Struthio camelus: one gene and its partners. The protein of the gene in region 3 purifies or fractionates together with the protein of the main gene of each other region. This does not show direct contact. Links are inferred from orthologs where the notes say so. Each region holds a gene or a part of one and is shown on either strand. Other genes may lie near its edges. The genes, in order: PNRC1, EDC4 and DCP1A.

Region 1 (3,745 bases), on a different chromosome or scaffold from region 3:
CTGCAGGCCGCAGTGCACGTTGCGCAGCAGCTCGTCCACCTGCGCCGCCACCTGCCCCGCCAGGGCCACCACGTCCTGCAGCGCGCCGGGGTCGATGGCGGGGATGGGCCCCGCCGCCGCCGCCGCCTCGCCCCGCGGGGCGCCGCTCAGCCGGATCCGCCGCTCCAGGTTGTTGGCCACGAACTGCGTGAGGCGGCCCTCGCGCAGCACCGTCCCCTCCAGCTCCAGGGCGCTCGCCAGCGTCGCCCGCCGCCCCTCCGCGGCGGCCGCCGCCGCCGCCTGCTGCTGCTGCCGCGCTGCCGCCGCGCCGCCCGCCAGGCTCAGCGCCTCCAGGCTCCGCTCGTCGCGCCGCGCCGCCGCCGCCGCCCCCTCGGCCGGGGCCGGGGCCGGGGCCGGGATCGGGGCCGCCGCAGCAGGCCGCAGCACCGGCACCTCCATCCCCTGCAACGCGCACCCGCCTCCCGCCGAGGGGCGGGCCGCCCCGTGTTTACGTCCTCGCCGATTGGCTGCGCGGCGGCGCGGAGGTGTGGCCTAACCTGCCCGCGCGCCGCCCGATTGGCCGGTCGCTCTCGAAAGGAGAGCAGTTCGTTCCGTCCCTTCGCTTCGCGCTGTGGGCCTGTGACTCGGAGACTGGGGCGTGTCCGCTGTTTGTGTCTGCCCGGATTGGGCGGCGTACGGAAGCGGGCGTGTCCCGAAGTGTTTGTGTCGCTTCTGATTGGCAGAGGCGGGGCCACAGAGGCTGTCGTTTCCCTGCGATTGGCGGTATCCAGCGGAGGGGCGTGACCCTTGCGCCTTCCTCCCGCGGCGATTGGCGCGGGGGCGGAAGGGGGCGTGGCCGTCTCGTGTAACAACACTGGGGCGCTGCTGCCTGCTCCTCTCACTCCCCCGCCATGTTCTCCTAGCAGCGGGTCTGATCGCGCCACCATCTCAGCCCACAAAGCCCAGGTGGACACTCCCTAGCGACCCGAACTATCCATCCCTGCCTGGGCTCGACCCCTCTCCCCTCTACAGCTCTGGGTACCCACAGCTCACCATGGTCACCACCACGGCGCCGCCGCCCTTCCTGGCTCGGATCTCGGCAGGCACCGAAGACCCCAGGCGGCTGCCCTCGACTCTACTCCAGCACCTCAGGCGAGGGGACAGCAACTGTGAGAACCAGCCCAGCTGCTGCCTGGCGGGTCCGGGGGGCAGCGCGCGGCCTGCGCTGAAGAGAGTGAGGCGGAGGAAGGGAAAGATCCGGCCCAGCCCCGCGGGGCTCCTGCCGAGCCGCTACCAACAGTACCAACAGCATCGCGCCGGCCTGGGGAGAAGGACCCCGCTGGGAACACACGGCCCGGGCGAACTTCGCCCTCCCCCTGCACCAGCTGTCTCCGCCGCCCCCAGCATGGTAACGAGTCCCCCCGAGGAGCCCCCTGCGCCCGCCCCTTCCAGACCAGCGTCCAGCAAACCCCTCAGGAAGGAGGTACAGAAAGGGCTCCGCTACTTCCATTTACTTCTCCTGTTCCTGCTCGCGCACTCCGAGACGGGAGACTTGTTTTGTCCCCGGCGGCAGGGGTGGGCGAGCTGCGCCCCCCCCCGCGCCGTGTGTGTGTGTGCGCGCGCGCGGATGGACGGGCGGGCGGGCGGGGCGGGGCGGAGGTGGGCGCAGAGTTTCCGTTACGCTCGCTCGGCGGGCGGGCGGGGGGGGGTGGGGGAGGAGTTGCAGGCGGCGATTGGCTGCTTGGCTCCACCAATCAACGCGGCCGCTGCGCCCAGCAACAGCCGGATTTAGCTTGCTGGCCGGGCGCCAGCGAGCCCTGCGCGCGCAGGCGGGACGTGCGAGGGGCGTAGCGCCCCATGGCGGCGGGCGGGCGCCCCCGCGGAGAAAGGGAGAGAGCTCCGCTACCCCCCCCCCCCCGGGGCCGCCTTGAGGCTGACGAGCTAGCGGCGGCTTCTCTGCGCCGCCGTTGGGGTGGCAGTCGGTCTCGCTTTGCTGTGCGTCGAGAGAGGCAGGCGAAGGGCGTCCCGGGAACGCCTTTGCGAGCCCTGGCGGAGCCCCCCCCCCCCCCCCCGCTGGCACTCGTGTGCCTTAGCGCTGCCGGAGGCCCCTGTTGAGGAGGGGGGTCGTGCCTTGACGTGAGTTCTTTGTCTCCGCAGTTCTTAAAGAACAAGATGGGAAAGGCTGAGAAGGCTGCCGCCCCCCACAGCCAGCCTGTTCACGGTATACATCTGTGTGAACAACCAAAGATTAACAGGCAGAAGAGTAAATGTAACATGCCACTAACAAAGATCACCTCTGCAAAAAAAATAGAGAACTTCTGGCAAGATACTGTGTCGCCCGAAATAATTCAAAAGCAGGAGAAAAAGCCACTTAAAAACACAGAGAACTTCAGAAATGCAAAGTCCAAGAAACCTATCACCCTAACTGAAGCAAGCCAAAAAGAAAACTATGCTGGGGCAAAATTTAGTGACCCACCATCTCCTAGTGTCCTTCCAAAGCCTCCCAGCCACTGGGTGGGTGGCAGTGCTGAACCTTCTGACCAAAACAGGGAGCTGATGGCAGTCCACTTGAAAACTCTCCTAAAAGTTCAAACATAGTTTCCGAGATCTCTGGGTAGTAGCAAAGAAAAGTCCATCCAGGAAACTCAAACATGCCTTGTTGCAACATGAATTGCAAAAGACTGTCAAGTCTTATAATCACATTTAAAAAAAAAAAAAACTTGTATTATATTTTTTATGGTTGTGTAAATAGTGTACATCATGTATTATGTGTATATTCTTGTTCATACTTCGAGAGGTACATTTTAGTTTTGTTATGAAAGGATGTATTTTGCACTGCCTGAATGGTAGATGTCTTGTATATAAAATATGGACAATTTTAAATGTGTGCTTGGCACATGAAGACTTGACTTGATTTGCACAAGGTGTTGAAGTTTTGAAAGGAGAGTACAGCTTTCTGGTATTAAGGTTCTAGATCAAATGTGAATGGTTTATTCATGCACTACTGATAATAATTTTACATTCTGTGGCCCAATCAAGTATAAACATGGAATTTTCATGCAAATGTGAACTTTTGCTCTCTGCTCTGGAAACAGTGTCTGGAATTCCTGGTCATCTGTTTGTTGTAAAATTACCTGGAATTTGAGTAAAATTCCAACCCATCAACTTGAGCACTGCTGATTTCTTTAAAGGGAAAAAAAGAAAAGAGCAGAGCTCTCTGCCAAAAATATAATTGGTTACGAAAAATTGAAATAAAACAATTTGGCCTCCCCTTAAGCATGTCTGTATGTTTTTTTTTTTTGTTGTTGTTGTTTCTAATGCTCTTAATTCAAATGTTTGAACTTAAATTATATGATTACTTTTGTTAGGGCATAACTAAATAAGATGAATTTTTATGTCCTTCTCATGACCTTTAATTATCTGAAGAGTTAAGAGGTTTGATAGCCCATCAAGAATCCCATGGGGTTGTCACAATATGTTGCCTTTGAGATGTATCATTTGAGAATCCCTAATCTTGTTTCTTGACAATGCAGATTTCGAGACAGTTCGGGAATTAAGCATTCAAATTTCCATTGGAATGCTACTTAACTGCTCTCATATTAAGTGATCATTAAAGTACCGATAAAGTACTGATGCCAAAGAGCAGCAGTGAGAAAGGCATGGGGAAAGTTCATATTTTTTTCACCAAATTTCTCTTTTGGTGAAAGCTATCCTTTGAGCTTGTAAAGGAGGACTGCTGCTTAAGGAAAATGAGGGAAGCAAGAGC
Region 2 (3,745 bases), on a different chromosome or scaffold from region 3:
ACTATGTGAAAATAGTCCTTTGGTGAGTTCAAAGAGCTAAGAGAGAGGTTTAGTTTCCAGGAATGCTACATGTTGCCAGTGTTAGTTTAACAGCAAATCTAAAATGAAAATTCTTTAAACCCTTAAAACTTCTTTGAAGTTATCCCATGCAGTTGTAACTGGCTATAGGGGGAGGAAGTGGGCCATAATAATACTTTTCCACAATAGTACTTTTTTTTTCCCCTCCTTTCTCCACGGAGTCATTCATTCCTGGTTCCTTACCTGGAGGAAACAAATGCCAGTGTTTCTGAATCAGTATTGCTTAATGCTTTCAGATCTGCAGGTCACTTTTGAGGCCTGTGATATGTGAACAGGTTTGCTGCCTCTTAACTGAATGCTTCTTTCTTGTACCCTTGTCTCGGTGCAAGTGTTAGACTGAGCCCTGAACAGTCATGTTCCAAGTTAGGGGGCTTCTTGGAGAGGTGGAGATAGCTGCCTGTAGTTGGAGAAAGGGAGCATTACATGTGATGGGTTTTTTTTTCCCCCAAATGACCTGTCTCACCCCTTTCAGAGCGAAACTTCTGGAACCCTATCATGGTATTGCATGCAGTTTGGTTGGAATTTCATACTGGCTTTGAAACTAGTGCTATTCATAGCCACATTAAAAATATGTCTTAAGAAAACTCTGAATGTGGTTCTTGAAGGCAACAGGTAATCTACTTTGCAGGGAGCTATGTGAGGATAGGGAAAGGAGGAACATTTTCCTCTTCAGAAGAAGGGGATGACTTGCTTCTCTTCTCTCCTACTTAATATCTGCCTTTTAATCGCCTGAAGAAAGCGAGGCCCAGCCCTGCTCCTCCAGCTCCTCCAGGTGAGAGGAGCAAGGGTGAAGCCTGGCCCGGAGTCACGAGTGTCGGGGTGGGGGGGTACCTGGGGCCCCTGGCGGCAGCTCCCCGGCCCCTGCGCGGCCGGGTCGGGCACCTGTCAGAGCGGGGACGAAGGGAACTCGCTTCAGCCCCGCCCGCTGGAGCAGCGCCTGGGGGCCGCCGGCGGCCCTGGCCCGCGCTGTCTCCCCAGGCGGCAGCAGCCCCGGGGCGGGGCTGCTCTGCCCCTGCCGCGCCCGGAACGCGCCGGCCCGGCGGAGGTTTCCGCCCGGTGCTTCAGCAGCGGGACCGGAGGCGGAAGTGGGGGCGGCGGGCTGGGGTAGGTAGGGGTAGCGCGGCGGCGGTTGCGCGGGCTGTGGCGACAGGAACCGGGCTGGCCCCATGGCCTCCTCCTCTAGCATCGACATCGAGGACGCGACCCAGCACTTGCGGGATATCCTCAAGCTGGATCGGCCGGGAGGTGAGGGGACCGGGGCCCGAGGGGGCGCGGGGAGGCCGCTGCCGGTGGGCCCGGTCGCCGCTGTCGCCGCCGTGGCGGTGCCGGCCGCAGGTGTCAGGAACCGTGCTATCCTGCCCCAGACCTGCACCACAAACCTCTGCTCAGCCACTTGGCCCCGTTGGGGGGGGGGGGGAGGGAAGCACCTGTTCGCGGCCCACAGTGCGCTGTAGCTTTGCCGTCGTTGTTGCTCAGGGCCCTCCGTCTCGAGGCCGGGCCCTACCCGTAATTTGGGCCTCGAGCCCCACGCGACCGGAGCAGCACTGCCGTATGGTGGCCGCTGCCTGCCCGCCTTGCGCTCACTGCTGGGGCACTAGTGGCATCATTCTCTGTAGCTCGGGGTGGCTGGCTCCATCCCTCTGAGGTAAGAGCGAGGGTGGTCAGGGAGTCCCACTTGCCCTGAATCTTTTGCCAAGGAGCACAGACTTTAGTGGCAAAGTTTGTACCAGCTGGGTAAGGAGAGGACCCCAGTGACTGGTAGCTCAAATAAAATCCAGAGCAGGCCCTCGCTTACAAGAGACAGCATCTGTTGCTGAACAGGGCCTGGAAGCCGTGTGGACGCAAAGCTCACTTTTTCTAGTGAGCTCTAGTGATTTCTGAATTCTCTTTTCTAAGAGGTGTCGTTGTCTCTGAGTAGGTCAGCACAGTTCAATTCTCCACTCAAGTCTCTCTCCTTTGTTAAAAAAGTTTTGAGGTCTTTGAAGTTTTCTTACTGGACTGAGTGGATGGGGCTATTTGGTCTCTCTGAGATTGGCACTGTCCTCACCCTTTTCAGTCCCTTTTTCATTTGAATGTAAAATGGGCTTCGTGTCATAAACATCTCTCTAAAAGCAGTGGTGAATCTTCTCCCTTTGCTTTGAGCGATTATACTTCTCTGCTCTGAGTTCAGTGGATCAGTCAGTGTCTTTCTACCCATGAGAAATATCTGTAGTAGACGGCAATGGTCTTAGCAGTCAGCTGTATAAAATGTGTTCCAACTCCCTTTTAGCATAGTATCTCTCTCTCAACCCCCCAACATAGCTTTTGGACCTTCTGGACTGTTTCAGTCTAACCTGGTAGGGTAGTGAGCTGAAGAAGATTGTTCCTAGATGTTTTGCAGAAGCATAGTGTATGGATAGAGAACAGAAATTATGCCCTCTTCCTTTTCCCTCATTGAGAGCATAAAGAAGAGCTTCATTTTTTAAGTGTCCTGAGAGACAACACCCAGTCTGTCAGTACAAATACACTAATGCCAAGGCAACTACTGTATGTGCTGTCTTTTGCTTGGTCAAAACGATGAGAGGTTGGATGTAGGATTGTTGTGAGGGAAGTGGAGGCACATGGGGTGACAGATGCAAATCTGTCGTAAGCCAGGGTTTGTTAGTTTTGGTGTCCATAGAGAAACTTCTAATTAGTTGAAGTAGTTTCTCTTATTTTTGGAACACTTAGATTCCCCAGGATTTTAATACTAATAGTGTAAAAATACACTTCTCCTTTATAGTGCAAGGCTTTGTACTTGAAAGATTGAAAGGAGAACTCAATGCTGTGATGGGGAGTGTTTGTTTCATGAGCAATTCATGAACTGGAAGGATGTGTCGTAACTGGGAAATGGTTGAAGTTGTTCTCTCAAGGTGACTTGACTTCCCCCTGAAGCAGCTTCTCTTGCTGTTAGAAGCAAAGGAATTGGTCATTGAGAATGGCTTATATCTTTTCATTTTTCTTCTTTGAAATTGATTCCTGTCCTTTGCATCTCATTTTCTTTATACCTTCTCTGTCAACTCCAGCGCATGAGAAAGTAGTTAGGAGGAAAAGGAGTGAGTGGACTGCGAGTCAAGCAGTAACGCGCCTGTATTTGTGCTCAGCAGGAAGTGTTGCCTGTGTAGCAGCAGAGACTTTAAAGAGCTGGACAAAATGAAGAGCAAGAGTACTTGTTTGTTAACTGAAAGGCTCTGAAAGGCCTATGAACACAACAAAGGGAAAGGGAAATTGAGGGATTGATTCATCAAAGCTTTTGAATAGAAGCAGTGCCATGAATTGCATGTGAAGGGCTAGTCTTGTCTGGCATAACAGCTGCTGCTGTCAAGATCCTCTCCAGTTCTAGTTTCTGTTATTCGTAGCATTTACAAACTAAAATACCCCACAAAGAATAGTGTAGCTGCTTTCCAAGCCTCTGAACAGTAAGAAAGTTTTGCCTTGCAGTTATGAGCAGTATTATGTTATTCTAGGTGCTCTCCGAGCACGTGACGAGATGCTCCCTGCTCCAAAGAGTTTGCAGCTATTGTAACACTTTCTTTGTTCTGCTGTTTTTGGTGGTTGTGAAAATGCAGTTCCTCACCTGTACCCCATCTCTCTTGATAGAGGTTTTACTTGATTTCAGTGTATATCATTCAGAACTTCAGTAGCTCTT
Region 3 (3,745 bases):
AGTCTGAAAGGAGTGACTGTGCTCCAAATACGCTTTAGGAATATTTAAACAATCTGCTGTGTGAAAAAGAAAAAGAGTTTGCACAACTCCAAAGAGTAGAGCAGGGAGCAATAGAAAGACCCAGTCATGCTGTCACAAGCAACTGAAGGGGTAAAAAAGGGTCTTATTATTTAGCCTATTTGAACATTAATTTGTATCAAACAGATTAACAGTACTTAAGGTATAAACCAGCATGTCCTGTCCTGTAAAACCTCAGCTGAATAACTGAAATACAGAACATAATGTTCTCTTCACTTGTTGAAACACAAATGGAATCTGTCCCACTCACAGAGAAAACATCAGAAGGGCATTATCTACATCATCCCACTTCTGTCTGGTTTAGCGCAAGAATCAGAAATAGTGAGAGATGAACATTTCCCCAGCACTAACTGCTGAGTAACTCCAAAGAAGGACAAAGATATCTGCAAAATATAATAGTCATAGAACAAGCCTAAATGGATATAACTAACATTTCAGTTTACACTGAGGTCAAAGTTTGAGGCTAAGTATATGTTATACTTTGGTGTACTTCAAGGTTGAGGAAGCAGATGGTAGGCCGTATGACTCATTTCTGATATAAAATATTTCATTCTAAGGCAATAGCAGTGAAGAAGGGCAGAGAGAATACATTCTCTGTAAGGCAGAATTGGAATTAGCAGATGAAGGAGGAAAACAATCCATAAGCGGAAACCACCACTTGTTTTTGTTATCAATGCTCCTCATGCTTCACTTTTAATTCAAGACGCAGCCAAGGAGTTTTCATGCTTGAGAAGATCTGGCACAGCAGAAAGCTGTCCTTTGTCAAGAAGTTTCTTACTTTGAAATATATCTTTGCTTTACAGTAGTCTTGCTTGAGTCTGACTCAAAAGAAAGGAGTAGATTGGTGCAGGTGTTAAAGATGCCATTTAAAATAAAATGTTAAAAGGTTTTTGTCATTTTGTTGCTGTTTCACTTGAGCCCTTAGAATGTTGAACACCCTCTTGTTAAAAAATTTTCAAATGTTAACTTCTACATACTATCTTTTCTCAAGTTAGAGTGTTACTGAATAGTAATTGGACATTTTACATGAAGATATTTTTAACATTATGCTAACTGTCATTGTTTGCTCTTTGATGAGAACAGCTTTACACACTTTACTAACAGAACCAGTGAAAAGCCAAATTTTATGGAATAGATCATGCCCTCCTGTGGTAAAAATCATTAGAAGGGGATGAAAGTTTCATAGAACTCTCTAAGACATATCATATGATTTTTATGATTTTTTTTTTTTTACTGATGCTTAGGTCTAAGGATTCAGCTGTGAGTTATTGGAATGAGCTACATGGGAATTTTTTGTCCAAACTTCACTTTTTTTTTTCTAAAAAATGTCTGCTTACTTTAAATTAGAACTATTTAACAACAAAAGACATAAATTAATGTTCATTCCAAGAAGCTTTACTTTTACGGAAAAAAATGATACCGGAACTGGGCCTGTCCATTGTTCATGAGGAAGATGTTTTATTGAGCCACAGACCTGCTGGATCATTGCTGATGCTTGTGCATTAAGCGTCTGTCATTGCGGGAGAAGTCTAAACTGAAAAGCTAATTGAATTAAAATCAGGAGTGTGTCTGCCTGCAACGAAGAACATGACCTGGTAATACAGAGCTTAGAGGAACTTCCTTGCATTCCCAGAAGGGTCAGAAAGAAACCATCTTGCCACAAAGATGGTTTTGTTTCGAAATTTACAATGCTGTTTTATTCCTGTCAGATTGCACAAAATGCTACCAAGTGTAAATCCCTGTGATATTGTTTTGAATGTTATTCATGTCTTGGTCCTAAGTGTATATTTTATACTTTCCTGTTGCTAAAATATCACTTACGATTAAAAAAAAATTGCAGGAACAAAGCTGAGAGAGCACAGCATGTTACCTTGTCATTGCTCCAACATTACTTGCGTACAATTTGTACCACATACGCGAGTTGCTATGTCTACTATACCTGAGAAAATTGAAAGTTCTTAATTCCAAAATTCTTTTAACATATTGGAAACTCCAAGTCCTGCTGCAGACTGTGAAGCATTCGGACACCAGCTAATGGTGAATAGCTGCGAGAAGCGTGGGGAGCCCCCGAGGCAGAGACCGCAGCTCTGCGCGCCACCCGCCGTCGCCCTCCTCAGCAGGCTCCGCTCCCCGACGGCGCCCGCCGCAGCGGACGCCCGGCAGGAACAACCTCCCACCCACCCGCTTCTCGGCTGCGTGGCCCAGGGAGAGCGGGAGGGAACAGACACCACCGACCACGGGGAGGTCGCTCCGCCACCCCATGACCCAGCTCGCAGCCCCTCGCGCGCTTGCCTGCCGCGAACTCAGAAGCCTTCATACTAGTAACGCTAGCAAATAAATGACAACGATAGAAACAATGACCGCTCACAGCGGGTGCAACGCGGAGACCTTTGCTTAACCTGTCCCATTGCCATGAAGAAACGCCCAGGCGTGGAGAAACAGCTCGGAAGAAGACGGTGGGCTGCAAATGCAGGGCAGCGGGCCCGAGGGGACAAGGCACGGGGCTCGGCCGGGGCTGGAGGTCGGGATCCCTCCGTGCCGGGAGGGCTGGACCCCCTTCAGCCATAGCGCCGGGGGGGCCCACCCGGGGCACCCGGGGCCCGAGGGGATCCGGGCCACCTGCTCACGGCCCCAGCGCTGGGCTGGCGGGGGCGCGGGGCAGAGGCCTCCGGGACACGGCGTACGGCAACCGAGGAAACCCTCGGTGCCTGCGGACGGACATACGGGAAAGCTCAGAGATGCCCCCTTCTAACTGTTGGGTGTCAGCTGAACGTTAACCCTCAAACTTGAAAAGCGTTTTCATTTTTAAGCCAGACGGCCCAGGCCCTGCAGTTCAATGGCAGTCGGGTCAACGTGTACCCTTCCACAAACGGCAGTGTCATCGAGTGGTCAGAGCGCCCCCAACAAAACCCGAAGGCGGCGAGCACCGAAGGCTCGAGGCTTATTTCCGGGCGAAGGAGGCGGCGGGGGCGGCCGGGCACGGAGCGGAGCGGAGCGGAGCGGAGCGGAACGGAACGGAACGGCGCGGCGCGGCGCGGAACGGCAGGCGCGGGGCCGGCGCTCCGGCCGGCGGCGGGGACGGGTGCGCCGGGGACGCCGCGCCGCCGTTTCTTGCCCGCCCCCGCGGTTGCTGCCGGGATCCAAGATGGAGTCGCTGAGCAGAGCGGGGCAGGAGATCAGCCTGGCGGCCTTAAAGCAGCACGACCCCTACATCACCAGCATCGCCGACGTGACCGGCCAGGTAGCGCTCTACAGCTTCAGCCCCAAGGCCAACGAGTGGGTAAGTGAGAGGCAGCGGCATGAGCGGGGGAGGGCGGCAGCGGGCGGCCCGGCCCGCCGCGGCCGTTGGGAGCTGCGGGGGGGGGGGCTCCGGCCGCCCGTGCCCGCCCCGGGCGGCCCCCCGCCGGGGACGGCGCCGGCGCCTTCGCCTCCGCCCTGGGCCGCTGCTGCCGGGGGGAGGTTTGAGCTGCCGGTGCCTCGCCGCGGCCTGCCGCCCGCCCCGTTTACACCCCAGGAGATGAGGGGAAGGCGCATCTGCCTGCGGGACAGTGGTGCTCCTTCAGGCCTCCTCGGCTCGTGGGGGCTGTTGCCGGATTGCCTTTTTTTTTTTTTTTTTTTCCCAAGTGTGATCTTTTGTTTTTGTTCTTAATGGGTAGTTCAGAGCCTT

The links.
Region 1: the proteins of DCP1A (region 3) and PNRC1 purify together in Homo sapiens (affinity purification with mass spectrometry; 3 studies listed by BioGRID and IntAct, with this or other methods). This does not show direct contact. The link is inferred for Struthio camelus from reciprocal best matches to the Homo sapiens genes DCP1A and PNRC1.
Region 2: the proteins of DCP1A (region 3) and EDC4 purify together in Homo sapiens (co-immunoprecipitation; 9 studies listed by BioGRID and IntAct, with this or other methods). This does not show direct contact. The link is inferred for Struthio camelus from reciprocal best matches to the Homo sapiens genes DCP1A and EDC4.

Annotation. Positions count from the first base shown.
Region 1 is NC_090944.1:49,907,810-49,911,554, forward strand, and holds PNRC1 (proline-rich nuclear receptor coactivator 1), read left to right. Parts: upstream 1-856; 5' UTR 857-857; coding exon of another isoform or gene 858-926; 5' UTR 927-1,033; coding exon 1,034-1,462; intron 1,463-2,136; coding exon 2,137-2,577; 3' UTR 2,578-3,255; downstream 3,256-3,745. UniProt on the Homo sapiens protein: Nuclear receptor coactivator. May play a role in signal transduction.
Region 2 is NC_090951.1:24,310,220-24,313,964, forward strand, and holds the start of EDC4 (enhancer of mRNA-decapping protein 4), read left to right. Parts: upstream 1-1,104; 5' UTR 1,105-1,244; coding exon 1,245-1,323; intron 1,324-3,745. UniProt on the Homo sapiens protein: In the process of mRNA degradation, seems to play a role in mRNA decapping. Component of a complex containing DCP2 and DCP1A which functions in decapping of ARE-containing mRNAs. Promotes complex formation between DCP1A and DCP2.
Region 3 is NC_090955.1:17,446,186-17,449,930, forward strand, and holds the start of DCP1A (mRNA-decapping enzyme 1A), read left to right. Parts: upstream 1-1,519; 5' UTR 1,520-2,914; coding exon 2,915-3,358; intron 3,359-3,745. UniProt on the Homo sapiens protein: Necessary for the degradation of mRNAs, both in normal mRNA turnover and in nonsense-mediated mRNA decay. Removes the 7-methyl guanine cap structure from mRNA molecules, yielding a 5'-phosphorylated mRNA fragment and 7m-GDP.